Caenorhabditis elegans: one gene and its partners. The protein of the gene in region 3 purifies or fractionates together with the protein of the main gene of each other region. This does not show direct contact. Each region holds a gene or a part of one and is shown on either strand. Other genes may lie near its edges.

Region 1 (11,254 bases), 9.8 Mb from region 3:
TATTTTGTGGCATTGCCTGGGGTTTTTTTTTGAATTTCTGATATTTTTTGCAATTTTTTTTAACTTTAAAAATTTTTCTTGGGAATTTTCTGGCATTTTTTTGAATTTTCTGAGATTTTTATAAGATTTTTTGGAGTCTGAAATTTATCAGTTTTTCTTAAAATTTACAGATTTTTTGGAATTTTCAGAGATTTTTTTTTTGAAATTCTGAGAATTTTCTTGGATATTTTAAGAGAATTTCCTGGGAGTTTTAAGAAATTTTTGGGATTTTTTTGAAAAATTGTCCAGATTTTTTGGAATTTTCTGTGTTTTTTCTGAATTTTTTTTTTGTAATTTTTCTCAATTTTGATGTTTTCTGCAATTTTTCTTTTTTTTTTTGGGAATTTTCTGAGATTTTTTGTAATTTCTGGGAATTAAAAAAAAAAGAATTCTGGGATTTTCTGACAACTCCTAGGAATTTTATCTAAAATTTCCTGGAAAATTTTAAAATTATTTTTGGAATTTTTAGAAATCTTATAATTTAATTTTTTTAATCCAAAAAATTTCTAAAAATTCCAAAATTTTCTAGAACTTTTTTTTTGAGTTTTTCCAAAATTTTCCAATAATTACTTCGGCTTCTTCATATCGTCTCCACCAATTTCAGCTCCTTGCTCTGCGACTTTAAGTATATGCGGCCAATGGTCCAGGGCTTTGATGAAGAACGGATTCGTTACGCCAAGAATCACACGGGGTCTGCAAAAAAGTGATTTTTAATGAAATGTTCAGCAAAAATTGAAAATTTGGGCATAGCTTCCGCATCTCCGGTGACAAATGTGCTCTATTGCACAAATTGTTGGTTGGAATACGGTATTTATTGCATATTTCAGCCGAGAATACCACTATTCAAACCATCAATTCGGATAGAGAAACACACAAGTCACAGAAAATATACAGGGAAATTTAGTTCAGTTGCCGTATTATTTTGTCCTACTTTGCGCAAAGTCTGAATTCGGGTCTCGCCACGAAAACCTGTGGGTTACTGTGGGTTTTTGTGACAAGACCCAAAAACAAATTTGCGCAAACTACGTCATTTTTATGCTCAAATTCTTGATACTTTCGTTTTTTTTTCCAAAAAAAAACTCTTAAAACCGTATTTGCCGTTTACCGTCGTGAAAAATCGGAAAAGCCCATAAGTTTTTCAATTTTTTTCTGAAAAAAGTCCGAAAATCAAGCGGAAAAGCTAAAAATTCAAAATTTCAGCAGGATTTTGAGAAAATTATATCAAAAGCTATGTTAATTTTTGGGTTTCACCAAAAAATTGGAAATTTGGCCAAAGTTTTTCACTTTTTACATTTTTTTTATGTAAAAAACTGGAAAATTCGACAGTTTTTGCAATTACCGAGTTACGGAATCTATAAAATCAAATTGTCCAATATTTTTGTCGAAATTTTCAGTTTTGAACAAATCTTTTGGCGTAAAAATTGGAAAAATGACACAAGCTGGGTTTTCGCTGATTTTTGAATGAAAAAATCCGGATTTTTAGCACAAAAAATGAGTTCAACTCTCCACCACGGGAAAACTTTTTGCGAATTTTTTCATCCCAAAAAAAAAAAGGAAAAAAAAGGTCCAGAAAAAACAAACAACATTTTTGTCGCAGTCACCGAGGACCTAGGATTTCCTCATCCTCCCTGGCTCAATCGGTAACTGCTTGGGCCGGGGGGCCGATTGAAACTCGAATTTTCCAGTTTTTACAGCTTTTTAAAAATAAAAACTGAAAAATTCGAAAATTGCCCAGTTGCCGAGTTACCGTACCCAAATTTATGGCATTCCTCTCTGGAAAATTTTATTTTTCAATATTTTTGTCGAAATATTCAGATTTTAATAAATCCTTTGGCCTAAAAATTTGAGAAATGGCACAAGCCGAGTTTTCGCTGATTTTTGAAGAAAAAATCAAAAAAGGATTTTCAGCATAAAAACTAACGGCGATCGACTTTTCGACGAATATTCTCGAAATTCCGAATCATGAATCGTAAAATACGGTCGAAAATCGTTGACAATCCTCAGAGGTGACAGTAATCCAACGATTGACTGAACTAAAGCAGAAGTGATGGATGGCGTCGGAGCAACGATGAGAAGGGGCTCGCCGAGCAGTACAAGCTCCCAGAGCAGTGGCAAATGATGGACGTGCTGTACAATTGATGTAGTGAAATCTGGACGGACAAGGCGTTGAGAATCATCGTCTGATAGCTGAAATAGTAGCAAAAATTTGAGTGGTTTTGGAGGGAAAAATTGTGGGAAAATCGATTTTTTTTTTGTATTTTAATACGAGTTTTGAAAATTTTTGACACATTACACTACAAAAATTTTGCTGAAGATTTTTCGATTTTCGATATTGTGGATTTTTTTAGAGAATTTCTGAGATTTTTCGAAATAATTTTAGAAAACTCTAAACATTTCTGGAATTTTCAAAGATTTTCTAAAATTTTCGTTAATTTTGAGCTTTTGTCTGATTTTTTTTGCAAAAAACTTCTAGAATTTTCGGTGTTTTACAACAACAAAAAATATGGGGATTTTTAAAGACTTTTTGAAAAAAGTTTAGGAAACTAATAAAATTATAGGTTTTTGAAGGATTTTCTCAAATTTTTTCAAAAAATTTTTGAAAATTTTCTGAAAAATTTTGGATTTCTCGAGATTTCAAATTTTTTTTTTAATTTTTTGAAAAATTTTGTGATTTTTTTGGAATTTTTCGAAAATTTCTAGAATTAAAGCTCTTAAATTTTTGAGTTTTTTTTCTGAAATTTTCACAATTGCCCGATAGTTTTGGGGGTTTTTGCGATTTTTTTGTCCAAATTTTGATAATATTTCGAATTTTCAGAAATTTACGCAATTTCTAGTGAATTTCTCTAAATTTTCTGATAAATTTTGGATTTTTTGAGATTTTTAGTGAATTTATAATACACTTCTTTTTGGATAATATTTTAGATTTTTCAGTTTTGTTTTTTTAATTTCTGAAAATTTTTGTAATAAATTATCTCCAATTTTTCGTTAATTTTCAGCATATTTTCTGATTTTTTGAAGAAATTTTCTTTTTCGAAAACTTATAGAATTAAAATTCTGAAATTTTTGTGATTTTCTTAAATTTAAAAAAAAATTCAAAGATTCTGGAACATCATTGGAATATTCTTCAAAAAATATCTAGAAATAAGAATTTTTCGGCTAAAAATTTCACAATTCTCTATTTATTTCAATTTTCTGATAGATTCCGGACATTTTTTCAGACCAAAAATGTTCAATTTTTCGAGTTTTTTTTTTCCAATTTTTTCCAATTTTAGCTACCTCAACATGTCCATCAAGCCGGAATTCATATGGTAGATCACAGGCGGCCGGTAGGCGGCAACTGATTAAAGTACCGAGCAACGGTAACTCAATAGTCCGACCAGCGTGCGGCTGTTGCCACGTGTCAATGTGATGGCAGGCTGGAAAATTTCAGAAAATTTTAGTTTTTTTTTCCAATTTCAGGTGGCGGCTACCTGCTTCAATTGCTGCTTCTCCACTTTCAAAAAAATGCTCAGCGATGCGGGCGGTAACTGAGTAGAACAAGGAAAACAGTGGGAGCACTGACATTAGGACGATGCTCTGGAAATAGAAAATTAGCTAAAAAAAAAAAGGAATGGATTTTCAGCCAAGTTTTCAGGCTGAGAAATGGAAAATTTGGGCATAGCTTCCGCATCTCTAGTGACAAATGTGCTCTATTGCACAAATTGTTGGTTGGAATACGGTATTTATTGCATATTTCAGCCGAGAATACCACTATTCAAACCATCAATTCGGATAGAGAAACACACAAGTCACAGACAATATATAGGGAAATTCAGTTCAGTTGCCGTTCAATTTTGACCTACTTTGCGCAAAGTCTGAAAAAGTTGGGTCTCGCCACGAAAAAAAAAACTATTCGAATTTCCTATAAAAAAAACAAAAAATACAAATTTTTTGATTTTCATGGGAAAAACATCGAAAAATTCAAAAATTTGCCGTTTTTTCCGTAAAAAACGGATTTTTTACCTGGAAAAAGCCACAAAAAATTCCGAAAAACAAGCGGAAAAGCTAAAAATTCTAATTTTCAGCAGGATTTTGATTAAAAATTAGAACAATCCAAGAAACCACTAGGTTTTCAACAAAAAATTGGAAATTGAGCAGAATTTTTCAGTTTTTACAGCTTAAAAAAAAAACATCATAAATTCCGAGTTACCGTACCCAAATTTATAGCTTTCCTCGGAAACTGGGATTTAAAAAAAACAGAAAATTGTCAGAAAAAAGGGTTTTTATGGGTTTTTTTTTCAAATTTTATAATAAATTTTAATGTCGAAATTTCCAAATTTTCTACTTTACACCCGAAAACAGCCAAATTTCCGCGCTAAATGAAAATTTGGGCATAGCTTCCGCATCCCCGGTGACAAATGTGCTCTATTGCACCGAATTGTTGGTTGGAAAACGGTATTTATTGCATATTTCAGCCGAGAATACCACTATTCAAACCATCAATTCGGATAGAAAAACACACAAGTCACAGACAATATTGTTTTCGAGTTACCGTATAACTTTGACCTACTTTGCGCAAAGTCTGAAAAAATTGGGTCCCACCACGAAAACCTGTGGGTTACTGTAGAATTTTGTGACGAGACCCAATTTTGTTTAAAATTTGCGTAAAATACGCCATATTTATACTTAAATTGAAGCTCTCATCTAGATTAATAAGAAAATGCCAGTAAAACTGAAAAAAACGTCTTAAAAGCTTAATAATTCCAATTTTTCTGGGAAAGGTCATAAAATTGTGACAATTTGTCGAATTTCCTTTTTAAAAAATTGAAAAGCCTAAAATTTTCCATTTTTCTGGAAAAAAAGCCGACAATCCATAGTTTTACCCTTTTTTTGGCAAAAGACGAACATTTAAAAAATTCCGTTTTTTCCAAAAAAAAGGGGAAAATACTAAAAATTGTTCCATTTTTCCGGAAAAAAGTGAATTTTAGCGGGGAAAAACTCGAATTTTCACTCAAATTTTCGCCAATTTTATTGCGTTCCGGTTATGAACCTTCTGATAATATCCTCGATGAATTGTCGGGTCTTTGCATTGCCGAAAATGCACAAAACCGTATAAATAGTGTGTATCAAAGGGTAGAGACGTCGGAGATTTGTCGACAAACGACTTTTGGCAGTCTCTGACGTCACTGATTGCTCTGAAAATTTTTAATTTTGAGTATTTGCATTGAATTCAGCTCACTTAAAGCTTCAAAATGAGTATAAACATGACCTAGTTTGCTGAAATTTGAAAAAAGTTGGGTCCCGCCACGAAAACCCAATTTTCTTCAAAATTCAGCAAAGTAGGTCATAATTATACTTAAATCAAAGCTCTCGGTGAGCTGAACACGGAAATCACTCGCAAATTTTCAGATTTCAGCCAAAAAAATTTTTTCTCAAAATTTGAAAAAAAAATATTTTTTTCCGAAATTTTTAATCTCAAAAAATCACCTGCGTATCCTGAAATGAAAATTTGTGTCTCGTGCATTACTGGAATTCGAGTCTGGAAATGCCAAATAGCAGATATTGATTTTTTCAGTGTTCGATAGAATTGCGTCTCCTGGGTAGATTACCTGAAAAAACCAGATTTTTTTTTTGTCAAAATCGTGCTCAGCTCGTCGAGAGCTTTGATTTGAGTATAATCACATTAATCATTTTAAAAAATGCGAAAATTTCCGGGTCTCGCAGCGAAAAGTCAGAAAATCCGGGATTTTTTGATTTTTCTGCATTTTTTTTTCAGTTTTTCTGCAAATCCTCACTTCCAACGCCTGTCCAAGCTCCAAATCAAACGTGACCACACAAATGCAGTGAAGCCAGTCGCGAAACCGGTCCCATGGCTCAATATCCGGCTCCATTCTGAAAATTTTCAAGATTCCAGGTTTTCTGTGCTTTTTAGGTGGATTTTCAAGATTTTTAGGGTAAAAATGGTGAGAAAATCGATAAATTAGCTGATTTTCAGCGAAAAAAACTGGAAAATTCATGAAAAACGGCGCAAAATCGGCAAAAACGAACAAAGAAACCGGTTCCGTCTCTCTCGTCATCTCGCGCACTCCACGGAATGCGTGCTCTCTCGGTGGTGCGATGGAGCGCACTTGCATTGTTTTGGTTTTAACCGATTTTCAGGGGATTTTCGGGGGATTTTCAGCCGAATCCGAAAGTTTAAGCAAGATTTGAAATCAGATAGATTATACCAAACAAATGAATTTCACGAATAATTCAAATTGAATGTCTATTTAAATATGTGCTAACTACGGTAAGCGAAAAAGTACGCATTGCATACAATACACTTTAATTGACGCGCAAATGTTTTTTCTGTTAAAAAAAAATGTTTTCAAGCTTAATTTAGATATTTTTAACGAAAATTGTCGTTAAAATTAAGCAAATGGTTTGTTTAAACGATTATAACACAATGTTTAGAATAAAATAATCGAAAAATCTAATTATTTTTGTATTTTCCACTCGAGACCCAAAAAATTCCAAAATTGTTGAATATTTACCACAATTTTCATCCTAAGTCGCGAGTTTCTCACCAGAAAAGTTGTCTTTATCAGCGAAATTAACCTGGAAATTCAAATTTTTGAAGTTTTACACTCGAGACCCAGAAAATTTCCGGAATTTGTGTATTTTCCATGTTTTCGAATTCTTTGTGAAATTCACTTCAAATTGAATTCTTTCCATTGAAAACCTACAATTTCCAGCAAAAAATAACCGGAAATTTCAAAATTTCCAAGTTTTCCACTCGAGACCCACCGCTGGATTACTGTAACTTCATTATTACGTGTGCCAACTTTATTTCAACGTTTTACAATCGAAAAATGAGGGGGTTCTCACCCAAAAAATTACAATAAATTAGATAAAATGATCGAATGCCATGATGAAAAATTTCAAAAAAATGCCAAAACTCGTTGCCGGGGGGTGAAAAAAAATCTTAAAGGGACAGGAAAATTTGGAGAATCTGTGAAAAAGTGAGAAAAATAAGAAATTGATAGTTTTTTTTGGGATTAAATAGTGAGAAAATAGGGAAAAAAGTAAAAAATGTAGAAAAAATATCAAAAAATTCTGCGAAAACTGGAAAAATCTCCAAATTTGCAAATAAAAGTCGAAAAATTTCGAATTTTTTCAAAAAAAAAATTAAATTCATATTTTTGGAAATTTTTATTTGAAAAATTCGAATTTTTTGGAAAAAAAATCGGAAAATTTAAAATATTCAATTTTTTTGGGAAAAAATTCCGAAAATTTAAATTTTTAATTTAAAAAACCGATTTTTCAACATTTCAACTGCATTTTAGGACACTTTTCACAATAAAAATGATACACTTTCAAAAAAAAAAGAAGATTTTTCAGTGTATTCCGAAATAAATCACATAAAATTGAGTTCAGAAATGAGCTCATCAAGATCATCCAACTTTCTTGGGTTATGAGTCTCAATGTATCCACGTGCATGACGGAAGAATTGGCTCAAATGCTCGTGAAGCTGCTCGGCAGACGTGTAAACGTCCAAATCTTGCTCAATATCCGGCAGAGAGCGATTCTCGTGTTGAGCGTTACGTGTCGAACGGGATTGGCCGGGAATTTGTTGCAGGGTCTTGTAGAGTCGAGGATTGGCACGTTCGATCGAGTTGAACAGCTCCAGCACTTCCTGAAAATTTGGAAAAATTGATTTTCTGGAAAAATTCTCAAGTTTTTAACAAAAAATTGAAAAATTGGGCATAGCTTCCGCATCCCCGGTGACAAATGTGCTCTATTGCACAAATTGTTAGTTGGAATACGGTATTTATTGCATGTTTCAGCCGAGAATACCACTATTCAAACCATCAATTCGGATAGAGAAACACACAAGTCACAGACAATATACAGGGAAATTTAGTTCAGTATAACTTTGTCCTACTTTGCGCAATGTCTAAAAAATTGGGTCCCGCCACGAAAACCTGTGGGTTACTGTAGGTTTTTGTTAGACCTAATTTTTTTTCAAAGTAGCGGAAAAATTACGGAAAAATTGATTTTCTGGACAAATTGAATGAAAATTCACAAGTTTTTGCTCAAAAAAAAGGAACATTTGGAAATACATATATTTTCGAGAAATTGTCTAAATTTTATTGGCTGAAAATTTCTAATTTTAGACGAATCTTCCAAAAAATCCAAACATTTTCAATTTTTTCCGGAAATAAAGTCGAAAAATCTATTTTTTGTCAATTTCTTCCGTAACAAATCAGTTTTTTTTTGCCAATTTTTCTCTGAAAAAAAGGGTGAGAAAAAAAATTGTTTAATATTTCCGGAAAAAAACTGAAAAATCCAAAATTTTTGAATTTTTTTCATAAAAAGTCGGGAAAACTCAGAAATTTTCCAATTTTTTCCGGCAAAAAAAAAAATGGAAAGAACCAAAAATTGATTTTTTTTAAGTCTAAAATCCTATATTTTCCGTTTTTTCATTTGTTTTTCCAAAATCAAAAAATTTCCAATTTTTTGGTAAAACAGTTAGAAAACCCAAAAATTGACCTTTTTTCCGGAAAAGAAAAATGGAAAGAACCAAAAATTGTTCAATTTTTTTTCGGAAAAAAGTCGAAAATTCTATATTTTCCGTCGTTTTTTCCTTTGTTTTTCTAAAATCCATAATTTTTCCAATTTTTTTGGGAAAAAATCCAGTAAAACCCAGTTTTTCGCAAAACTCACAAAATTTTGCTCAACAAATGGAAAATTTGGGAATAGATATTTTCGAAAAATTTCTAATTTTAGACGAATCTTCCAAAATTCAAAAATATTCCAATTTTTTCTGAAAAAAAGTCGAAAAATCCATAATTTTTTCAATTTCTTCGGTAGCAAATCAGTTTTTTTTCCAATTTTTCTCTGGAAAAGAGGGTGAAAAAACTAAAAATTGGTCAATTTTTCCGGAAAAAAAAATCGAAAAATCCAGAAATTTTCCAATATATTCGTAAAAATCGGAAAAGAACCATAATTTTTTGAATTTTTTTTCCATAAAAAGTCGGAAAAGACCTAAAATGTTCCGTTTTTTTCGGAAAAAATCGGAAAAATCCATAATTTTTCCAATTTTCGTCGGAAAAAATCCGGCAAACCCCAAATTTTTGCTCTTTCTCCGGAAAAAAACTGAAAAATCCAAAATTTTTGAATTTTTTTCATAAAAAGTCGGGAAAACCCAGAAATTTTCCAATTTTTTCCTGAAAAAAAAGGAAAGAACCAAAAATTGACTTTTTTCGGAAAAAAAAAGTCGAAAATCCTATATTTTCCGTTTTTTCCTTTGTTTTTCCAAAATCCAAAAAATTTCCAATATATTCGTAAAAATCGGAAAAGAACCATAATTTTTTGAATTTTTTTCCATAAAAAGTCGGAAAAGTCCTAAATTGTTCAATCAATTTTTTTCGGAAAAAAGTTGTCGAAAGTTCTATATTTTCCGTTTTTTCCTTTGTTTTTCTAAAATCCATAATTTTTCCAATTTTTTTGGGAAAAAATCCAGTAAAACCCAGTTTTTCGCCAGAATTTCCATCCAATTTTCACCCTTACCGGCACAACAACGGTCTTCTGCCGCTTCGGCGGTGGCGGGGCAGGCGTCTGCCTCAGCACTCCCTCAAATTCAAGCACATCTCGCATTGCAGCGTTGGCCTTTCGTTTAGCAGATCTTCCTCGAGTCTCTTCTTCAACAATATCCTCCTCATCCTCATCGTCAGATTCACCACTTCCATGATGATCTTCTTCATCCCCTCCACCTTCTTCCTTCTGTCGAAGATCCTCCTTAGCTTCCGATAGTTGCCTTCTACGATCTTCCTTAGTACACTTTGCACACCACCATCCCTCCTTGAAGCCTTCCTCTTCGAAAAGAGCTCGACTAATCGTTGGACGATGACAACCGTAATGGAATACTGTAGAACACTGCTTACACATCAGCTTCCTCTCGGTTCCAGTCTTCCGGCGGCACACTTGACATGAAAGTTCTGGAAGTGTACGTTGTTGGTCGATTCGGGCATCAAAATAGGCTAGAAGCATGTGAAGACAGGATGCATTTGAAGCTTCCTGTACACGACGGCAGAAACGTGGCATTTTTAGATGGGAGAAGCACTCTGGAAAATGCAAAAAAAAAGTTAAATTTTGACTTTGAAAATCTAGTTATTTTCCGAATTTTCTGCTAATTTTCGCCTAATTTGACATATTTTCATCAAAATTTGTAAAATTCAAATTTGGACAGTTTTCAGCCTAAACTAGCTAGTTTTTAACCCCCTGAAGCCTATGAATTTTCGAAAACTTTTAAACAAAATGTAGCGAATATTAACACCAGATTAACTAAAATCGCACAAATTCCAAATTTGTCACCGGATTTCACCAGTTTATTTTCCACCGGAAAAATGAAAATTTGGGCATAGCTTCCGCATCTCCGGTGACAAATGTGCTCTATTGCACAAATTGTTGGTTGGAATACGGTATTTATTGCATGTTTCAGCCGAGAATACCACTATTCAAACCATCAATTCGGATAGAGAAACACACAAGTCACAGACAATATTGTTGCCGAGTTACCGTATAACTTTGACCTACTTTGCGCAAAGTCTGAAAAAATTGGGTCCCACCACGAAAACCTGTGGGTTACTGTAGAATTTTGTGGCGAGACCCAATTTTGTTTAAAATTTGCGTAAAATACGCCATATTTATACTTAAATTGAAGCTCTCATCTAGATTAATAAGAAAATGCCAGTAAAACTGAAAAAAACGTCTTAAAAGCTTAATAATTCCAATTTTTCTGGGAAAGGTCATAAAATTGTGACAATTTGTCGAATTTCCTTTTTAAAAAATTGAAAAGCCTAAAATTTTCCATTTTTCTGGAAAAAAAGCCGAAAATCCATAGTTTTACCCTTTTTTTTTGGCAAAAGACGAACATCTTTTGGCTTTTGGCTGAAAAATGAAAATTTTAGACAGTTTTAGGCTTAAATTAGCTAGTTTTTGGACTAAACGTAGGAATTTTCGACAAATTCGAAACAAAATCTAGTGAAAACTAAACAAGATCGCACAAATTCCAAATTTTGCACCAATTTTCATAGTCTGATTCAGCTTTTCTAAGAATTTTGAGGTTTTGTGAGAAAATAAAAGAAAGTAGTTGAAAATTCGGCATTTTGCTCGGAAAAAATCGGAAAATTCATAATTTTTCCATTTTTCCAATAAAATAGTCGAAAAATTCAAAAATTCTCGAATTTTTCGG
Region 2 (11,363 bases), on a different chromosome or scaffold from region 3:
TTTAAACCCCAATTTTTTAATCTCAATTTTTTACTACTAGTCATTAAAATAAGACTTCGAGACACAACTATTGCTCCATCACATTTTCACCCTCGCTTTTCGCCATTTAAGAACAGGCAATCCTATTAATTAATCATCTAATCTCGTTCGCAAAGCGATTGCAAGTGTTCAAATAGTATTATTAAATCTATCAAATTATGCTTCTCCCAATCCTCACCAGATCCCATAAACAGACTTACATTGGGATTAAGTTTTCTCCGATTTGCCGCATATAAATTCAAGTCAAATGTGCAGCCGAGTCCAATTTCCATTTGTTGAATGCCACCCACATTATGCGGAATCGCGTGGTTCAGAATTTTCTCGGTGGCGTTTGGAAGCATGTTTGAGTAGGGCATCAGGACGAAGGTGAACACGTGGATTGGTACAACGGCGTAGAGAATTCCGGTGGCTAGGACAAGCTGGAAATTTTGTAGGGTTACTGTACTTCTTGGAGACTACTGTACTTCTTAAAATTCAAATTCAGGATTACTGTAGCTCAGATACTGAGATAGGATTACTGTAAGCGAATTCCAGCCGAAAAAAACAAACTTACCCAAAACACAACTCTAGCTTTTCCACCGGAAATGTCAAAGCAAAAATAGAGGAACGAGGCCAAGAAAATGAAGAAGAAGACGCCGAGCTCGGAGAGCAGGTAGCCGCGGAGAAACCATTTGTACTGAAATTTCTTTATTTTCTTTTAATTGTACTTTTTTTCTATTTTCTTTTTCAAAAGGCCATTTTTCCAAAAAGTATGATGATCACAATATTCAGTGAACAGCTAGACAAATGACCTATAATGATAATCTGTTTATTTTTTTATTCACAACCTTAATCCCCCAATGATATATAATGTTTTATTTATTTGCCCTTTTATGACGCAAAATCACATTTAGTTTGCCGTCATGAGAAGTTCACACGTTCCGGAAGTTGTCATGATTTTTGATAATAGGGGTATTAAGTTTCTGGGAACGTTTGAAAGTTTATGGCAGGCGCGACATTTTGTGACAACTTTCTGGCGACAGTCAGCCCTTTTTTAGAAATTTCTGACATAAGTTGCCAATGAGTTGCCTGAAAGTTGGCAGAGTGTTGTCATTGAAAATAAATTTAAACTCGTTAAAAAATTAAAATAAGTGGTTGAAAAATTGCGTTGAAATGTGTTTTTCAAATCGAATTTGAAATAAGAGGTTTTTTTTTGAAAAAAAATCTAAAAAAATTAACTTTTTCCGATATTGCTTTTTTGGAACTTTGGCAAATGTTTAGCTATGCCTAAACTAATATTTCAACGTTTTTTGAAAACTTTTGTAGCTCATTTTTGGTGTTTTTATGCTACAAATCAGGGGTGTGCGGCAAATTTCAAAATTTGCCGAGCTTGACAAGTTCGGCAAATCTACTTTTTGAAATTTGTCGTGCTCGACAAACGGCAAATTCGGCAATTCGGCAAATTTGCCGGGCATCCCAGCTATAAATCTCAAAAGCCAACTGAGAAGAAGGACTCTTTTGGAAATGTTCAGAAAAAAACTTCGAAAAGAAATATCATTTGTTTTTCGAAACATGAAATTTTCTTAAAAGCTCCTCTGTCTCTGAATTCTTTTCTGGGAGTTGCCAAAAAAGACCAATATTTAGTAGGTCTCGTTTAGTTAATTTTTTCCAGTTCCAAATAAAACCGAAAATTGCTTCCAGAACTTTTAATCTATGGCGCCTACTCTGCGTGGGTTCTCGGAGAAAGCCACCAAAAACCGATTACTTTTCTACTTTTTTTGTCTATTTCTAGTTAATCCCATATACATTTGAGTTCATCATTTTGTTGTTGCGGGGTAAAGAGCAATACAAAAAACTTTCTGGTGTTGGATCAAGGATCTTTTGAACTTCGATTTTGTTGTTCATTTTTTATTTTGAATGTAAAAAATCACATAAGAGATGGGGGTCAGAAACAATGAGTTCATGTTGGAACTTGCAGATAGTTGAGGGGAAATCCCCTCACATTTTTGAAAATTCAAAAAAATCCTATTTAAAAATATGTAGTACAAGAAATGTTATAAGTTGATTATGCAAATTCAATTGAAAAAAAAAACGCCAGCTACAAATAACTTTTTGGTTTTTTTGAAATACAAATTCACATCATTTTGGCCAGTGCGGTCTACCTACAATTTCAGAGAGATCTTCGGCAATTTTTTAACTAGAGTGTTTCAAAAAGGGTCTATGAACCAATACTAAAACTTACAGTTCTCTCGTTTCCAAGCACTTCAAGCTCTTTTTCAGACAACTGATATACTCCTAGGAACGGACGTTCAGCGATTTTCGAGATTTGTATCGTTTTGTCGAGGAAATCCACAATATGATCGTACACTTGCTTGTCCTTCCACACGTAACAAAGGAGCACCAGGCTTGAGATCTGCAAATTTCAATTTTTAGGTTGGGTCCCACTACGAAACTGGGAATTTGAGAACTGCAAAGAATAGCTCTAAAGTTGAAAAACTACGGAGGCTCAAAATTCGAATTAAAAAACATTTGTCCTACAAGATGTCTGGTGATAAAAATGACCCGGTTAACCTCAGCTATTTCAAAAAGGATAAGCTGAAGAAACGTGTGAAGCACCCGACAATTTTCGGGTTCCCTATAGAACCCGTGAGACGTCGGGCGCTGTAAAACAAATTTTCAAAATTTTTAGAACGTTTATCAACCAAAAAGTAGTCTCTAAACTTGACAAAATTACGAAAATCCAATAAGCGTAACAGCGTCTGACATTTGCAGGGTGGGACCCGGTATGCGTCGGACGCTTGTAATTTCCTGTTCCTTTTCAGCGCCCGACATCTTCCGGGCTGTTGGACAGACGGAACCGCTTAATGTCGTCTGCTTAACTAAAAACTGTTTTTTAAACCCGCTTCTTTATCTGCTTTATTTCCTCAGTGAGTTCAAACAATCATTCGTTAATATGTTTTCCAGCCAGCTCACCCCCTGTCATGACACATTATTTGCACTTAAATCTTCAAAAAAAAAAAATCAAACTAGAAACATAAAACTCTAGTTTTCTTGCCAAATGTTCTTAGTCATAGAGCTTTTGCCCATCATTTCTAAAATCTTAAAATTCATCATTTTTTGTTGGGTTTCCATTATTTTATTGAGGGAGTTCCGAAACTTTTATTGGATTAAAATTGCCTAATCCGATAATAGGGGGCCCCCGGTGAAAATGCTGAGGATTTTCGCTTTGTCTGGAGAAAGAATTTTGAATTTTTTGAATGGAAAATGATGTGTGAAATTGATAGGATTTATGTGAGTAATTGGGTTAATATGTTGGTAATCAAAAAACAAAAAAAAAGTTGATGAATGAGTTTTTGGAATTCGGCAACTTTGGGTTTTTTGCCTGCCTGCTTTCCTACATGCCTTTTAAAATTTTTCACAGAATATTTTTCTCTAACTGAGACCATTATGTTTTATGTTCTTTGATCCATTACAATTTTTACAATTTTCCCGTGATTACCCCCAGACATTATCAAATTTCCGCTCAACAACAAGTCGTCTAGAAGCGATTAATTATGCCTGTTCCGAACGTTCCGGATATCAGAAACTTTGTGCATTATCCCTTAAAAATTTGGCTGAAAATTTTCAAAATTTGTTCAAAAAGGTCTGTAAGCCACTACGTGACTCTTTTTTAAAACCGAAAAATCAGATGGATAAAAAATCGAGCCAAGCGGAACAGGATTTCAAGTTTTTCAGACTGAAAATAAGTCAAGTGAATCTTAAAATGTTTTGGAATATTTCTTTTCTTCCTCCTGTCCAGTCAAGAGAATCTTCTGGGGTATGAAAATTTCAAACACCAGCCATTAATTTTCAAAGTTCAAGTAAACGAGATTCTCATGAAATTAGAGAAAATTATAGGGCAAAACTGCGCACAAATTGGCTCGGGCTTTTGCAGGAAACCCGATTTTTTCTGGAATAAAAAGTTTCAATTTGATCTTTCAGCCGGCAATTATGTTGGTCAAAACAGAGTAATTTGGAAATTGTAGGCTTTGAAATTTTGGAAGGTTTGACGAGAATTCAGAAAAAAAGGTATCAAAAACTACAAATTCGGAAGAAAATGAGGCCGAGTTCTTGGGCTTAGAACGTTGGGCAAACCCTTGACGTTTAGGCTTAGGCTTAGAATTATGCATAGGCTTGGGATTTAGGCTCAGTCTTAGGCTTGGGCATATGTTTAGGCTTGAGTTGAGGCTTAGGCTTAGTCTTAGGCTTACGCTGAAGCTCAAACTTAGGCCTTTAAACTAGGGCCTTTAGATTTAGTCTCAGGCTTCTTTCTTCACGGTTACTATTAGGCTTAAGCTTGGTTCAAGACTTTTGGCATACACCTCATCCAAAGCTGAGCTTTGATTTTTTTCAAAAAAACGTTTTCCCATTTCTAGAAACATCAAAAGTTCTGCTCCCTTACAGTACCCCTTCTCAAGCAAGCTTTGCTCGAGAAACCTCGTGGTACCCTTTTCCCCTCCAAAAAATCTTGCTGATTAATTAGCTCCTATGACTCCTCTCTATTCATCTTCTTCTGACTTCTTCTTGTTCACCCGTCTCTCGCCTCATGACCATGCTCGGTTGGATGGATAACGCGGGGCGGAGCCAATTATCACCAGAGCACACGGGTGCCTATATAAGCAAGAGCAAGAGAACACACTGATAATACTCTAATCTCTTGAGTTTTTCAAATTCTTCAATTGCTCTAATTTCTAAATTCTCTACAAAATGTTCCACATCAATCAAGACATTCTCACCAACGTCGATGCTCACCGCTCCCCAGCAGTCAAGGCTGCAATCCAGAGGACTATCGAGGAGAAGCGACGTGGGTTCCGCAGATGTGTATCTGCATTTTATTAAGCTTCTTGGAAAGCTCCTCTATGAGCCCTAACTGTTCTAAATATCTGTACAAAAATCTACACAAGCCGCCTTCACGGGTCTCTCCACATTCGAACTACTATTTTTTTCCGGTTTTGTTTTTTAAATGTTATTTTGTTGTTTTTTCTTCATTGTTTTTTGAATTGTTGTAGACTCTAGAAACCCTTACTTTCTTTGTATATATTGAACCAAAATTGACATTAAAGCTTCCAAAAAAAGTAATAAATTACATTTTTATATATCAAAAGTGTCTTGTTTTTTCTAGGGATTTTCAGGGTTTTCAGATAATTTCAGATGCTTAAAAGTGAACAACAAGATGAAAAATTCATAACAAAGAAGCGAGAGTACCGAAAAGTTTCAGATTTTTTCAGATTTCAGAAATTTTAGGAACAGGACTGGCTAGACTAGGGCTAGACTTATGCGTTGGCCATAGGCTTATGGTCAGGTTTAGGTCTATAGCCATGTTTGGGCCTAGGACTAGATTTAGGCCCAAGACTAGGCATTAACCTAGGACTAAGGGCTAGGCTTAAGGCTAGCTCTAGGTTTAGGCTTTGAGCTAGGCCATCAGGATTCACAACTTCGGTTAGTAGATGTTAAGCATTTCAAGGTTGCAAGAGCTGGCACTTAAGCTTCTAACCTAAGTATGGTCTTCAGATATGTATTTAGGCTTAGACACCTGCTTATGCCTAGTTCTAGGCTCAGGAGTAGGCCTAAACCGAGTCTCAGGTTTAGGACTACCACTAAGCTAGCTTTTTCTAAACTATATTTTTCACTACGAAAAGGAGAAAATCCTAGTTTGTAGTTAACATATTTTTCCGACACAGACTCACAGATTCAAAGATTCAATTATTTCTCTAATAGACCATATCACTATTCGAACCCAACTTTTCTGACTTCCTCTTCACTTTTTGATCTAACAAAAACTTTTGATCTATCTAACTAGCACCTATTCATAATGTATTTACAGCTGCAGAGGGTGTTTATTAAGAATAACCGAGTAATCAGGTCATAGATTCTTTTGAGTTCCCGAAACATTTTGTGATTCAGTCAGATTTGGTTCTAAAATTGAGTTATGAGTCAGGAAGTATTTTGGGAATCCGAAACGTTTGGGCTTATACCTTCAGGCTAAGGCTTGGGCTTTTTTGCTTAGGACCCTAGGCCAAGGCCCTTGGGATTAAGTCTTTCGACTTAATCCCAAGGGCTTTTCGACACATCCCATCCAGGCTATCAGGCGTAGGCCTTCAAATGTAGGCCTTCAAGTTGAGTCTTTCAGGCTCAGCTCTTTGGCTTAATATCTGTAGACTCATGCTTCAAAAATTCACTCTTCAATTTTGTCTTTTCGAAATTTCGTTTTGCAGTTTTCACAAGGTTTCGTGCATTTTTGTTATTTATTTATTTGTATACCTAGTATCTCATTAGTAATAATCTTTTTCCAGTTAAACCAAAAAAAAAATTTATAATCTTCCCGGAACCCCCTTCCCAGCTTATTTTAATCCTATTAATAATTCGGTTTAAAGCTCAGTGTACCGGAAAGTTCCAATCCCAAAAAAGTTTGAAAATAAGCACACAACATATTTCTTTTTGCAAAAATGTGAAGCAGTATTCATGTGCATATAATCTTCTTTTTTTTCCTTTTTCGAAACAAACTTTTTCTCATATCCGGTTCACTAAAGATAGCAGATGGATTCCGGCCAAGTGTGACCGCGGTCGGATTTTGAACTTAAATTTTTTGGGGAAAATTTGAAAAACTAACCGCCACTGCCAATGCCAGTGCCATAACCAAAAACATTCCGACAGATTCTCTCCAAGTCTGTGCGCCTTTAAACGTGACTTTTGGGTTATTCGACACTGTCCGAATCGGTGGAGCAGGGGGTAGTTGAGGAGGCGTTTTTGGCTCCGAATCGAAATCGAAATCCATTTCTGCAGATAATTTTGAAAATTAACTGTAAATACTTTTAGCAAAGTTGGAATAAAAACTTAAGGAACAAAAGACAATGTGAAAATAAAAAAGAAAAAAACAATTTTTTTTCTAAAGAAAAATGTTGCAAACGTTGTTTGGAAATTTTTTTATTCAATATCGAAATTTCCAATTCCCGAAATTTTACATTAAAATCTATAAGCCTAGAAGTTTACAAGCTTAAATAAAATGCGTCATGAAGTTGTTAAAAAACTATAGTCTTTGCAACAAAAAAAACATTAAAAATTTAGAGAACAAGCCTAAGTCTAAGCCTAGCCTAAGCCTAACTCTAAGCCGAAGCCGAAGCCGAAGCCTAAGCTTAAGCCTAATCCTAAGCCTAAGGATAAGCCTAAGCCTAAGCGTAAGCCTAAGCGTAAGCCTAAGCGTAAGCCTAAGCGTAAGCGTAAGCCTAAGCCTAAGCCTAAGCCTAAGCTTCACCATAAGCCTAAGTCTAAGCCTAAGCCTAAGTTCAAGCCGAAGCCTAAGCCTAAACCCAAGCCTAAACCCAAGCCTAAGCTTAAACCTAAGCCTAAGCCCAAGCCAAATCCATTCCTGAACTGTCCAGCTAATAAAAAGTATGTGTTAACAGCTTCATAAATCCAACAACCGACTAGTGAAAATGTGGTAATCTATCTTCCGGAGAGAATCTACTTCAGGTTTCCAACGTCAAACGCATATTAGTATATACTAATACGATAATAGGAAAACGAACGGAATGGAAGGGAAGAAGAAGACAGGTGGTAGTAGTGGAGAAGAAGCATCAGGAAAAGAGAAGAATATGACAAAACGGGAGACAGGCTTCTGGTACTAACCGACAGAAAGAAGAGAGAGAGAGAAAGAGACCACCTGCAGGGAATATACAGTCAAAATCTACTTATCGCACTTTTATGGGTGGACATATGTGTGTTCGGAAATGCATCGCTGGTTTGTTGTGTGAGGCATTCCGAAAAAGGAACATGTAAGGTTTTTGAGGGAGAGAAATGAGTCAACACTTAACTTTTGTGAGATGCGTTTAGAAGACGAAAAGGGAAGGTAATGAAGGACCCGAGACAAGTAAGGTCACTAGGAATAAGGTGGAGGGGTACACCGGAAAACTGAAACATAGAAAATAGAAAATTGCCTTAACCCAAAAAATAGAAAAAAAGTTTCACAAAAATCTCTGAAATTTTTGAATTTAGAAAAACTCAAGTATTAAACAACTCCACCATCTTGTAAATATATTACTCAGACGCAAAATTGCAAAATTTTAATTAATTTTGCAATTTTCCGCCAAAAATGTGATACCCGGCCTCGATACGACTAATGTTAGTTAAATGCCAAAAAGTGTGCGTCTTTAAAGAGTACTGTAATTTATCTTTTTGGAATTTTCATCAATTTTCAGTTTTGTGCACTTATTTATTTTTTTGAAAAAAATGTGAGAAATCTATGTAAATTAAATAGAAAAAAACACTGCAGAATTTATTTAGGGTAAAATTATAGTACTCTGTAAAGACGCATAGTTTTCCGAATTTGAGAAAATTTGTCGTTTATTGTTTTTTTCTCAAAAATAGCAAACTTAACGTCCGGATAATGTTTTTTCGTCATATTTGAATTATTATTTTTTTTTTAAATTCTTAAACAAAATTGGTATGTAAAATACAAATAATGTTTGAAAAAGTCAACAATTAAAAAGAAAATTCAGAAATTTTTGGCTTTCCGCTAAAACACCCTAAAATGTTACACCAATATTATAGAAAATCGATAGCTTTTATAAATTTTTAATATAAAATGTCTTCTTCTTACCTAATTTAACAAAAACATTAATGCAAATTCGCTCCGCCGACAATAAAAGATTTCAAATTTCACACGAAAAAAAAAATCAATAAACACACAAAAGTATGCAAAATCGAAAACAAACGAAGATAAAAGTCTGCGACCTTCGTAAGTATAATTAATGCATAGTGCCCCCTCCCGTTCGGGATAAAAGCGGTAGAAAGGTGTGTTAGTAGTCTGTGGTCCCTTGGTAACCAGAAAAAGAGACATAGAAGGAGAGAGTGGGAAATTAGAGGTAATCGGGTTGGAAAAGTGGCCACCAAAGGACAGGAGACTCTATGGGTATTAAAGGTCATTTAGGGGGGAAAGGGAATTAGAGGATTTCAAATTTAAAAAGAACTTTCAAACTGTAATTGGCTGAAAATAGGTCAACTAATGAGGAAGGTGTTCAGGAAAATTAGCTGCAATGAAGTTAAACAATTTTGGAACAACTACATACATGCGGTTAAGGCTTAGGTTTGGACTTAGGCTTAGGCTTAGGCTTAGGTTTAGGCATAGGCTTAGGCTTAGACTTAGCTTTAGGCTGAGGCTTAGAATGAGGCTAAGGCTTAGGCTTACGCTTAATCTTAGACTTAGGCTTAAACTTAGGCCTACGCTTAGACTTACGCTTACGATTACGCTTACGCTTCGGCTTACGCTTAGTTTCAATCTCAGGTGTTCGCTTAAAAAGTGCCTAACTGCCGAGTCTACCTCGTTTGAATTTCAAAAATGAGTCATCATGAGACAGGTATAAAGACGGATGACCGGACGGGGTAGACAATAAAAGTGACCCCCCCCCCCCCCTTTCTGCATCTCCCTAGTCACCAGCAGCCTACCCCATCACTTAATTTCATTCTCCTTCTTCTCCTCCGGAGGAGGTGGATAATTCGAAACGAATTGACAGGACAACTGGAGACTTTCATTTTTCAACCAAGCCATAGCCTCGCCGACGGGACGAACGTTGTGATGATTCTTGAGATTCTCATCGGTGAATAGTAAATGTGTGAGATAAATATCGAAGATTGTTTGAAAATTAGAAATTAATACGGTTAATTAGGTAGGAACAGCAAAAATTAGAAGAAAAATGTGAGAAAATTCGCAAAAAAGATTGCGATCGAAATTATCTGGGTTCTTCCTGTTTTTAGCGTTGCTCTGCATAGATAAGCGCACAAAATTTTAATTTTTAGGGTATTAATCTGAAATAGGCAGCTAAATAAAACTTTTCGAAATGGTTTGTACCAGTTGGTGGGGGGTAGGAAATAACAGTGGCAAGGACATAAAGGGTGACTGCTTGATTTATGACACCCTGAGAGAAACAATTGAAATCGGCAAACGTGGTCAACATATAAGGTAACCTTAACTAGGTATATTTGTTGGGTAGAAAAATATTCAAATTCTAATTTTAGAATTATTTCGAAGATCAAAAAGAAAAGGGCTTGAATTGATGCGAGTTCCGCCTGGACCAATTTTAAGCTGGAATAGATTCAAATCTAGAGCTTGGTGAATTCCAATAATTCTGAGAAAGTTTAAACTTGAACACATACCACGGGAAGAGCTTGAGCATAAGCCTGAACCGAAACCTTGGCAAAAGCAGAAACTTTGGCATAAGCGTAAGCGTAAGCCTAAGCTTGAATCTAAGCCTAAGCTTGAATCTAAGCCTAAGCATAAGCCTAAACCTAAGCCTAAGCCTGAGCCTAAACCTAGGCCCATGCTTAAGCCGGTAAAAGCCTAGGCATGCACTTTTGCAGAAAAATAATGTTTGTTGTCCAAAAAATAACTTTTAAAACGGTCGCAAGTAAGAAACGAAAACGCCAACAAAATGAGTAAGAGGATATTCAAATTGGGGCCACACACCCACACACCCATACAAACCATTCCCCCGAGAAGGGGGCACTGTGTCGATGATCTGCAATTGAGAAGCCAGGCGGTATACTGTTCACTCTTTACGCCTGCGTCTCTTTGAAATGCGATATGATCTCCATCCACCACCTAGTCAAGGACAACTCTCTCCCATACCATTGGACCGTAGCAGTAGAAGACCTGAAGACATGTCTTCTCGTAAACGGTTGAGCGCCCCATCTCGCCTTCCGCAGAAGGTCGCCTACAGCTGCGGTGTGTGTGTGGTGGGAATAAAGGAAAGAAAACGGTGATGGAGAAAAACAAAGATGAAGAAAAATGATTGGGAGAGTGACCGTCTCGAGGTGATAGGAAAATGGAAACATTTTAAGAGGAAGGGGTGTTGCCGTCCATGCTCCGACCAATCAGCAGCGTAGGTCACGCCTTTTGCAGATCGCTGATTAGTTAGCAGTCTTGTAATTAGAGCGCTTTTTTTGAATATTTTTTATTCAAATGGTCAAAATTACGAGTAGCAAGTTACTTTTTTTGTGTTTTTCCATCTTCAGTTTCATTCAAATTTCCTGCCAACTTCCCCTGAACGTCCTGAATGACCCTGTGATTTGGCCCGTTTTTTTTCATGGTCTAGGATTCAACAAATGATGGAATGACCTCGCGAATGTGGTGATGATCCTGATGAAAATGACACTCACTGCAGAGTAAGAACGATTTTCTCGTGAAACTTTGTGCAGTTTGCTAGGGGAGTATGAAGTGATTTTTAAACGAATCTACATAAATAGTAATTTCAAATAGAATATTGTCAAAAAGTTACCATTTTACTGAAAAAAAGTCTTCTAAAAACTGATAA
Region 3 (10,320 bases):
GTAAACTTTACTAGTGTGTGAAGTTTTCAAGCAACCACTATGATTGACCACACTCTACTCATCTTTTAATTTAACTTTAACTCGGAGTTTTCAATTTTTATTTAATTTCAATACATTTTATCTGCAGTTTGACTTGAACAAATTTTGAAACTTTCTCAATTAAGAAGTGGTTCTTTTCTGGGATTCTGGTTTTTTCGGAAAACAGTTCTGTATCCTTGGTCATGTTATTATATTTGCCCTATATAGTCAATATTACTCTTGAAAACTCCCTTCCTGTCGGATCCTTTTATTGCTCACGGAGCATCCACCTCATCCCAAAAACTTTGTTCTCTTTTCATCCCGCGCACAATCACCACACACTTCTTGCCGTTGTTGCTCCCATTCTTCAGAATGCCTCCTCAAATCTTTTTGGAGGCACAAGTTGAAGGAGTTTTGGAAGACTCAAAAGAGCTCAAAAGACCCGACGACATCCCTGAGAATACTTGACCATTCATTGTCATCAGTAAAGACTTTATGATGAAAAGAATTGGAGCAAAAGTTTTGAGCAGAGGAATGGTAGTTTTGCCGCAAAAAGTTAGATGGAGTCTGGGGTTCTATGTGAAATATGTAGTAGACTGTTTTGAGAGAAAACTTCAGGTCGTGTGAAAAATTAAATATAAATATTATTTTAGGGAAACTCTAGGTTCCAGACTTGCTTGAACCACAAACGTAAAACTGACGAATTTCAAGCTGTATTTTTTACAAACTTCATTTTCAACTTTATTTTTTATATATCAGTATCAGGCATATAGTTCTCTCTCGGAGAGCCAGAACAAAATCGAACCAAAAAACCAATATCCCTTGATTCATTAAAATTTTAATTTTCTTTGAAGTTAGTTGCTGAAAACTTTAACATTGTAACACCGATTGTAAATTCTTAGATTCGTTATTTAATGTTCTACCCCTCTTGTTCTTCAGTAGGTTGTCACAACCAATTCAGTGTAGTCTATAGTATTAGGTTTCTAAGCAAAAAAAAAAACAGTAAAATATTTTTCCAGCTGCCAGGCTCATGGTATTTTAGAACCTAATAAAATTCTTCAAATGCTCATCATATAAATTGAACTCTCTGTGGCTTGTACCACAGGGTACGAACATGACCTCCATTTCATTTTAGTGGTGAACACCTGCATTTCATTTTGATGCTTACGCAATCAAAAATACTTTTTTTTCTCGATTTTACCCAAGAGTAAGACAATGTGTTGGGATTTTACGCAATATCGAGAACGATGCAGGAAAAGGTCGTTGAAGAGAGATAGACAGACGAGGGTCATACAGGTGTGAACTTTTGGAAAACTTAGCGAAATGGTGGGGGGGGGGGGGGGGGGAAGTAAAATGAATAGATCTTCCAATGTTACATTGGATTGTAAATTATTTATCACAATCATGTTTCCGTATAGTATTGCATCCCATCGCTCTATGTACTTGGACAGCTTATGTTTCAGTTGTCTTTTGAGTTGGTAAAAAGTTATCAACTGACAAAACAATTTATATTTTTTCTATAGTGCTTCAATCAGACTTGTGAACAATTTTTCATCACGTAGGCATTAACTTCTCTCGTTGGGAGGCGAATTTTGTGGAATCCCTAGTATTCACAGAATTTCAAAATCCGTAGGAAACAGAACGTTCCGCTTCAAGGCGCACAAAAACTTGATAGCATACGGAAACCGCTTCATTTCTATTTTCAATTTCTAATTATAGTTTCACTGAATCAATTAATCGAACTTCTGACAGAAACTTTCCAACTTTAAATTGTTTGAAATGTACCTGGAATTAAACACGGACTAGAAAATGGGATGATCATCTTATTGTTCAATTCTATGAACCGGAATTCTTTAAAAACTATTAGGTTTCATCCATTTCAAGCCGACAAGAGCTCCCCACAGACTGTTCATCACATTGTTCCCTCTAATCTTCTTCCCACGTTTTGCGCTAAAGTTTTGTCACACCATATGTCGGCTATTTGTTGTTTATAGGTAAGTGGTGTCATAGCCAAAGGCATATAATATGAAGGATATAATAAGCGGAAGCTATTCTCATTCTCTCTTTCATTCAGAGCGGCGTTAGATTTCGCGCATGCACCGCCCGTGTCACACATACCTCGAAAGCCCCCACACAGATAATTGTCGATTTGAATACGCATCATTGAGTTGGCAAAGAGCCGTTTACCGTTTACCGTAGTCGTGAAGTTAGTAGGTAACATGGGAAAAAGTTTGGAAACATTAGAGTACAAGGGTTTCGTTTGGGAAGAAGTGGAGTAAACGGGTGAAGTGATTTGTTATACTTTGTACTGTTAGTTGTCTGATAGAGATACGTTTCTATTATTCAAACTTGAATTTCATTCGAACCTTTTAATTGTTTGTAAGTCCTGAGAGAACCTTTATAATTATATTGGCGTCTTGTCCGACCTGCAAGTACTGCTTCTAAATTTTTGATGGTACACATCCTTTTTTCACTACTTTTTTATAATATTTAAAACACTGAATATTTCAATTATGTGGGCAAAAAAGTAGATGTATCTTTTTGATGTGTGTATTGCTTTTTGCCAGCTATACCGTAATCCCAATGATTCTAAATTCCGTTTTCACATCCGACATGTGAATTCTACACGCCAAATCATCGTTTTTAAATTCCGAAAATCCAGAATTACATCCTTCATTTTCCCGCATTCCTTTATGATTTCCTCTAGTCTATTTGCTCATGATCTATATTAATGTACATCTTCTTTTTCATTTGTATCCATATATCCGAGGTCTTCTCCTTCTTCTTCTTGTTTGCCAACACATCTCCCTCATAACTACAGTATCCCCCGCTTCGTGTGTCATCTTAAAAGGAGAAGAGTGTGATGGCGTAACCTCTCGCTTTCTTTTACAAGTTGTCCGATACTTTTAAGGGATTAGGATTTATTAGAGAACAGACCAAAAACGACTGGAAATACAAGAGTAAGAGAGATTTGTCTCAAAATGATTGAAAACATCCACTTCTTGCACAATGCGCCGACAAAAGGCAGATGATCTTTGTTACAGGTGGATTGATGTACATTCAGGTCAAATAAAGGAAAACTAAAGATGTTAACCGCAGGCTCTGTAACTGTATCACTCTTAACAAATGATTATTTCACTATTTTATTCTAAAAGTATCCTTTCCAGATTATTATTTTTATGAAAACCATATAAAAATTTTGCAGCTTTCAGATTTTAACCGAAATCAAATAAATTTGAAGTCGCATGCAAACTCCCGGCACCTATCACATTTTGTAACTGAAACCAAAGTTAAAAGTACTTCATTCTCAATGTCATCAATCTAAGATTTTTATTGAAATGTTCCATAGTACCTGGTACATAGCACACTTGAGTTAGTGACACCCGATTGGAGTAGATGCATGGGTACGTTATGACCTTATTAAATGAGAACTCGATTTGTTAGAAATGAAGAAGTGAACGTGTCTACAGTAACCTGATGCCAAATAGTTCAAAAAACCGGCATCTAGATATAAGAAACATATTTCCTAACTTTTCAAATTTTCAAAACTGTAAAAAACATAATACAAACAATTTTGGCACTATCGCAACATATTCTTTGTTTATTCATAGTCTTACAATAAAAACAAAAAAAACAAGAGACAAAAGCACTAGATGAATTTCGACCTTGAGCTTCAACCCATCATGAGCACTTCATACAATGCTCGAGAGTCCCTCATTGTTGTTGTATGCAGATCTGTAGAAGAGTAAGTTTCAAGGATAAGGATCAATCGAAGATATTGATGATTTCCGGGGGTGGATTGAAGGGGATATAAGGAGTATTGTGTTACTTGAATGCAACATTTTCAAAAACCTGAAATGGATATTTTAAATGATTGATTATTCCACCACAGATATCGTAAGCACCTGTCCAGTAGAGGCATTTAAAAGATGTACATCTTGTACTGTTATCCTGGAGCAAAAAAATATATAATTACAGAGTATCGATATGATATTACCAATTGAGCAATCGTCTTACGGTGAAATTCAAAGGATAGGCATGGCTTGATCAGACCTAATACAGAGTAACCAAAAATGGACGCGACAATTTTTTTCAAACAGCTGGCAAATGTTTAGATAACACAAAGATGTTAGTAATGACTGTAGTTGCTTAAATTCATTAAATGATCAAAAGGAAATACATACTCAAGTTATTGAAAACATTTTCAGAAATAATTTAAGTTTTAGAAATTGAATGAATTCAGCTAATTTTCAATTTTTTCAAACCAGATATGTGTTCTTTACAAATGTTTGATATCTTTTTACAGTATTCAAATTACAATCTGAAACTTATGCAATCTTTCAGATTATCTCACTATCACCATTCCTAATTCTTCCACATTCCTAATCGAGGTAAAAGGTACACCGCCACGTGTGTTGCAAGAGGATTATCAAAAGAAGAGCAATTTGTACGAGTACACAACACAAACAACCATTTTATTGGATTGCGTGGAAGACGCAACAGAGCCGGAAAGAGAGCTGACAGATGTGCTCGGTCGGATGCTTTGTGACGGAACATGGATAGTAACAACAAGGCTACAATTTGAGCGGCACGGTTATACAGGTGTAACTGCCAGCAAAGCACTTGAAGTTGGAGGGAAATTTTGAATCAATGTCTAGCAAAATAATAAAAAAATTATTTACGTAACCTTTTATAAAATTTACGTTACAGGCTTTATCAAAATGTCGATCTTTCGACAAAAATCAGTATTAATTTATTTTGGAAGTTTTTTGCCAAATTACTAAAAGGTGAGTAGGGGGAATTTCAAAGTGATCATTTTGCAGTCAGACTAGGGAGGGGGGGGGGGGGTGGTGATAATTATAACAAAATAATTTCACGTGACCTTTTCTTATCAAAAGAAAACTTCCAAAAGGGGGAATTCGAAAAATAAATCAATAATAATTCTCCGACAAATTACTAAAAGGTATGTAAGGGCAGACTTTTCTTTTAGCCTAAACAGTTGTGTTAACCAAATGTTAATGTAATGGCTTGAAATTTGTATCTAATTCAATTCACATTTACAGTAACTCAAATAAAATGGGCGACTTGATCCAGCTAAGTGTCGGTACAAAAGTAAAAAAGTGGCAAATTGATAAGAAACTCGGAGAGGGTGCATTTGGTGCAGTCTACAAGTGTTCCAACCCGAAAGGAGACCTTTTTGCACTTAAAGTCGAGGGAAAAGACGAGAAAATTCAGTTGTTGAAAATGGAAGTCTACGTGTTGAATGAGTTGAAGAAGGCCGGAGGACGTCATTTCTGTAATATCGAGGATAAGGGACAAGTCGATAATTTCAATTATGTCGTGATGACATTTGTTGGGTTGTCACTTGCCGATTTGAGAGCCATTTCACCAACTAAGAAATTCTCGTAAGTTTTCTTTCAGAGAAACGGTTTTACAGAGATCTGGCAAAACGGAAGTTATTGTTCCCGTTGGATCTCCCAGAATTCAATCACCAAATTGCCTTTCCAGAATGGGAACCGCTATCTCCATTGCCCGTCAATCGCTGGAGGCACTCGAGGACATGCACAACATTGGATATCTCCATCGTGACGTCAAACCTGGCAACTACACAATCGGACGTGCCGAGGTCAATGAGCTTCGCAAAGTTTATGTGCTGGATTTCGGTATGGCTCGTAAATTTGCTCACGAGGATGGAACTATCAAGAAGCCCCGTAACGTCGCCGGGTTCCGTGGGACTGTCAAGTATGCGCCTGTCAGTTGTCATGCTGGACGTGAACTCTGTCGTCAGGATGATTGCGAAACGTGGCTTTACATGGTGGTGAGTGTGTATTCGGATCAAAATATTATCTGCTTTTCAACTAGATTTGAATTCGCGCTTAAAGTCACTTGCGCGATAATTCAAACTCTGCCATTTTAAGGAAGGCAGAAAGCTTATCAGAAATTGAAATTGATCCGAAATCTAACATTTTAAATGTTAAATTTCCAGGTTGAGCTCACTAAAGGGTCCCTGCCATGGCGTAATATGACAGAAATCCAGGATGTTGGAAATGAGAAGCGTGCTATTCGCCGTGATCCCATCGTCAAGAAGAAGATGTTCGGAGGGTAAGAGACAGATTTTCTAAAAAACTATTTTTGAAGTGTTGAAAAAACTTTCATCACCCGTCTCTGTTTCAAAACCTATCTTATTTCAGCTGTCCACGTGAGTACCTTGACATTCTCGAAGCGATCGATAAGGGACAATTCTTTGATGAGCCGAACTATGAACGGATCTACTATCTTTTGAGAGAGGCAATGAAGAATACGGGATCCACTGAATATCCGTATGATTGGGAGCAATCTCTTATGAAGAAAACGAAGGAAGAACAGGAAAAGAAGAAGAAAGGAGTTGTAGATCAAACAGAAAAGGTTATCAAGAAAAAAGAAGTTGAGTTGGCAGAGGGAAAATCTCATAAGGAGACTAAGGAGGTTACCAAAGTCAGTAAGGAAATTGTTGAGGAAAAGAAGGAAGAGAAGAAAGAGGAGAAAAAGGAAGAGAAAAAGGAAAAGTATGAAGACGATAAGAAGGAGGAGTTGTATTGATTGACTTTCGAGAAAAATAAATTATTTTTGAATGTTTCATGTGATATCTAGTTTTTTATCCTACGCGTACGTGATTATTTTGAATATTGGAGTTTCTCATTAGTAACATTGCTTTTTGTTCGAAGCATTCAGGATGAGGTCACCTGGGTTTCCTGCCATGCTCAGTTACTACAACATTGACATCTGTTGCAACTATTCAGTTAACTATCGATCTATATTCTTTTGCAGTCATTCATTTTTGCCTAACACAACTATAATGGCTGCCGTTTCTGAATTTCGTCTTCTTCAATTGCCTGAAAGAGCTCAACGAATTTCACTCTCGCACATGAGTTATAATTCAATGTAAGTTTATTTTGTTAACAAACAACCAGTTTAGTCATTTTCTTTTTCAGATTCTCACTCTCCCTGTGCTCCACAAAAAAAAACAAAAGACCTCGTTCGAAATTTCAATATAAAGTTCTATCGATTTTCTTTAGAAATATTTGGCGACATTGCTCTGATTATTAGCTGCGAAAACAGTCAAATCGATTTTAGTCTAATTCATTGAGCAGTAAAAAAACGTTACACCAGGATGATGTGCTACGAAAAACGTTAGATTTTTTGCAAATAGAGTGGAGAGTTTTGTATGGAAACGACCAAACTTGACATTTAGAAATTGGATAGATCACTTTCTCAATATTCTAAATATTTCAACTTTGAATGTTATAATGGCAAAGAGAAATGTTCATGTTGATTTTGAAGATCTTAATAGTTGTTTAGAAGGAGTACCTATACGAACGCTCACCTATGAAGGTATTGAAATAACTTCAGATAGAATTAATCGAAAGCATCCCGTTAGTGATACATTTTTATCAAAAGCGGGGTTTCTTGATTTTTATAATTGCACGTATAAAAGCTCACAGTTCATTCACAAGTTTCTCATTCATAATACTACGACGGTATTCACTCGTGGAGTGCCGCGATATAACCTGAATGATTTGCTGGTGTCTAATGGCCAAAAAATTTACGTTCAAGTCGGTAGAGGCATCATTTTTTTGGAAAAAGATGTCAATAAATTTTTAAAGCATTGGATACGTGGGTCCAATAGAGAACTTAAATCATTGGCATTCAGAGCTCCGATGAATATGGAAATAGAACATGCTATAGAAACAATATTAAAAGGAATATGTTACAAGGATGCACGAGAAGAAGATGCAGCTTCTATTAAACTGGTTCACATCTGCAATGGAAATACCTTTAAACATCCAATAATCAAAATAAGTGGTTTTCGTATTAAACGATTCGATGGAACAAATGCAACAGTTGTAATCAGATTATTAAATGCAAATAGTGTATGTTGTAATGTTGATATGTTTGTTTCCTAGATTCTTGTTTTAATGCACTCTCATTAATTGTACTTTTTATGAACACATATTTATACTCACTTTCCCTCTGACTCTGTCCCCTCCGAGGCACTGTCCCTTTGACCGCTATTTTTTGCTGCTTACCTTTCTTTGTTTCCTTTCTTTTCACTCATGGGACGAAATAAATAATAATCTTAAACGGAAGAGTGCTGGAGCATTCAGATACATTATTTTGAGTATTCGTCTCGAGGGCTGTGTAATTGATTTTAATCTGTACATGCTGAATAGTTGTGAGAAAATTACACCAGGACTATGTGCACCGGAAAAGGTTCGACGTTTTACAAATGATGTGGTAAATTTTGAATTAAAGCAACCAAACTTGAAATTTAAACATTGGATAGATCACTTTCTTAATATTCCCAATATTTAAACTTTAGATTTTGCAATGGGAAGGAAAAATGTTAATGTTGATTTTTGAAAATCAGGTTTTTTCGTTTGAAACATTTAGGATGAGGTCACCTGGGATTCCTATCATGCTCATTGTCAGTCACTACAACATTGCCATCTGTTGCAACCATTTAGTCAGATATCGATCTATATTCTCTTGCAGTCACTTCATATGTCTTGCATTTTCTGCATAACACATCTATAATGGCTGCCGTTTCTCCATTTCGTCTTCTTCAATTGCCTCAAAGAGCTCAACGCATTTCACTTTCGCACATGAGTTCTGTTTCTGTGTAAGTTTATTTTGTTAATACAACCAGTTTAGTCACTTTCTTTTTCAGATTTTCACTCTCCTTGTGTGCCACAAAAAATACAAAAGACCTCGTTCGGAGTCTAAATCTGAAGTGCATACGATTGTGTTTAGAATTCTTTGATGACCTTATTTTGAGTATTTGCTTCGAAGGCTGTATAATTGATTTTTATCTGTACATGCTGAATAGTAGTCAGAAAATTACACCAGGACTATGTGCACCGAAAAATGTTCAAGTTTCTACAAATGATGTGAAAAATTTTAAATGGGAACGACCAAACTTAAAATTTAGAAATTGGATAGATCACTTTCTTTATATTCTCAATATTTCAACTTTAGATGTTGCAATGGGAAGTAGAAATGTTAATGTTGATTTTGAAAATCTTCATAGTTGTTTAGAAGGAGTTCGTGTAAAAAAGTTATCTTATCATATACTGGACATGACTTCAAATGAAACCAACCGAACAAATTCCGTTAATGATACATTTTTATCAAAAGCAGAGTTTATTGTGTTGTCTAATTGCACGTATGAAACCTCACAGTCTATTCACAAATTTCTTATTTGTAATAATGCGACACTATTCTCTAATGTTTTTTCTCCATATAATCTGAATGATTTACTCATATCCAATTGCCAAAACCTTCTCGTTAACGTTGATAGAGGCAACATTTTTTTGGGACAAGATGTGAACAAATTTTTAAAGCACTGGATACGTGGATCAAATGTAACACTCAAATGTTTGGCATTAGAAGCTCCGATGAATATGGAAAGAGAACTTGTTATAGAAACAATATTAGAAGGAATTGATTACAAGGTTAAAGAAGAGGAGGTGTCAGTTTATAAGAAAATGCTTGATATCTTCAATCACGGAAATCCTTCAATTACCAAAATTCGTGGTTTTCGTATTACACGATTCGATGGTACAAATTGCGATGTTGTAATCAGAACATGCAATCCGAGTGTTATGCGGTACAGCCTAAATATGTTTATTTTCTAGTTTTGTTCTGTTTTGATACACTCTCATTAATTGTATTTTTTATGAACACATATATATGCACATATTTGTTGCTTCTAATTGTTTTGTTAATTGGAAAAACTGGAAAATGGAATAAATATTGGAATAAAAACGTGAAATAAGAAACCACAATTCAAAAATGACGTAGTGGATGTGGAGATAAACCTTTAAGAATAAATCAATTTATTATTTTTTCACATCGACTCGGAGGATGTCGTCGTTGAATGAGGATGTTGACGAGAGTAATCATATTTTTTATGATCCGGTCACACTCTTGAGACCGGTTTCACGAGCGATTAGCATGAATTTGGATCAAGTAAGAGTTTTTGAAATATTTTAATGCATTGCACTAAATGTGCCTCGCAAAACTTGAATTTTCAGCTTAACTTCGTCACTGTTCTTCTTCTATCATTCGGTTTGGGCTACTGGTTCCGTGTACAATTTTGTGATGCAAGTCGGACAACTCGTGCAGCAGTCACTACATCAGTTGGGCTAATTTTCACCTATTTTTGCTATGGAAAGTGAGTTTTGAGATGAAGTAGATTAAAAAAAAAGGGTTTTCAGTGCCATAGCTCATTTATTCATCAACGGGTTTGGAAGTTACCTTCTC

What was found.
Region 1: the proteins of C08F8.15 (region 3) and F53H1.3 fractionate together in Caenorhabditis elegans (co-fractionation; one large-scale study listed by BioGRID). This does not show direct contact.
Region 2: the proteins of C08F8.15 (region 3) and R03H10.2 fractionate together in Caenorhabditis elegans (co-fractionation; one large-scale study listed by BioGRID). This does not show direct contact.

Annotation. Positions count from the first base shown.
Region 1 is NC_003282.8:1,323,818-1,335,071, reverse strand, and holds the start of F53H1.3 (UDENN domain-containing protein), read right to left. Parts: upstream 5,911-11,254; 5' UTR 5,910-5,910; coding exon 5,814-5,909; intron 5,628-5,813; coding exon 5,506-5,627; intron 5,214-5,505; coding exon 5,069-5,213; intron 3,616-5,068; coding exon 3,510-3,615; intron 3,456-3,509; coding exon 3,316-3,455; intron 2,227-3,315; coding exon 1,961-2,226; intron 733-1,960; coding exon 610-732; intron 1-609. Other genes in the region: F53H1.4 (PHD-type domain-containing protein), read right to left, coding at 7,415-7,693, 9,571-10,124.
Region 2 is NC_003280.10:4,151,244-4,162,606, reverse strand, and holds the start of R03H10.2 (uncharacterized protein), read right to left. Parts: upstream 6,835-11,363; 5' UTR 6,833-6,834; coding exon 6,668-6,832; intron 2,432-6,667; coding exon 2,261-2,431; intron 716-2,260; coding exon 593-715; intron 459-592; coding exon 240-458; intron 1-239.
Region 3 is NC_003282.8:11,159,063-11,169,382, reverse strand, and holds C08F8.15 (F-box domain-containing protein), read left to right. Parts: upstream 1-8,575; 5' UTR 8,576-8,591; coding exon 8,592-8,677; intron 8,678-8,725; coding exon 8,726-9,692; 3' UTR 9,693-9,820; downstream 9,821-10,320. Other genes in the region: C08F8.6 (non-specific serine/threonine protein kinase), read left to right, coding at 5,095-5,423, 5,527-5,836, 6,005-6,120, 6,210-6,597; fbxb-9 (F-box domain-containing protein), read left to right, coding at 6,854-6,939, 6,990-7,104; mboa-4 (Membrane Bound O-Acyl transferase, MBOAT), read left to right, coding at 9,922-10,026, 10,092-10,231, 10,275-10,320.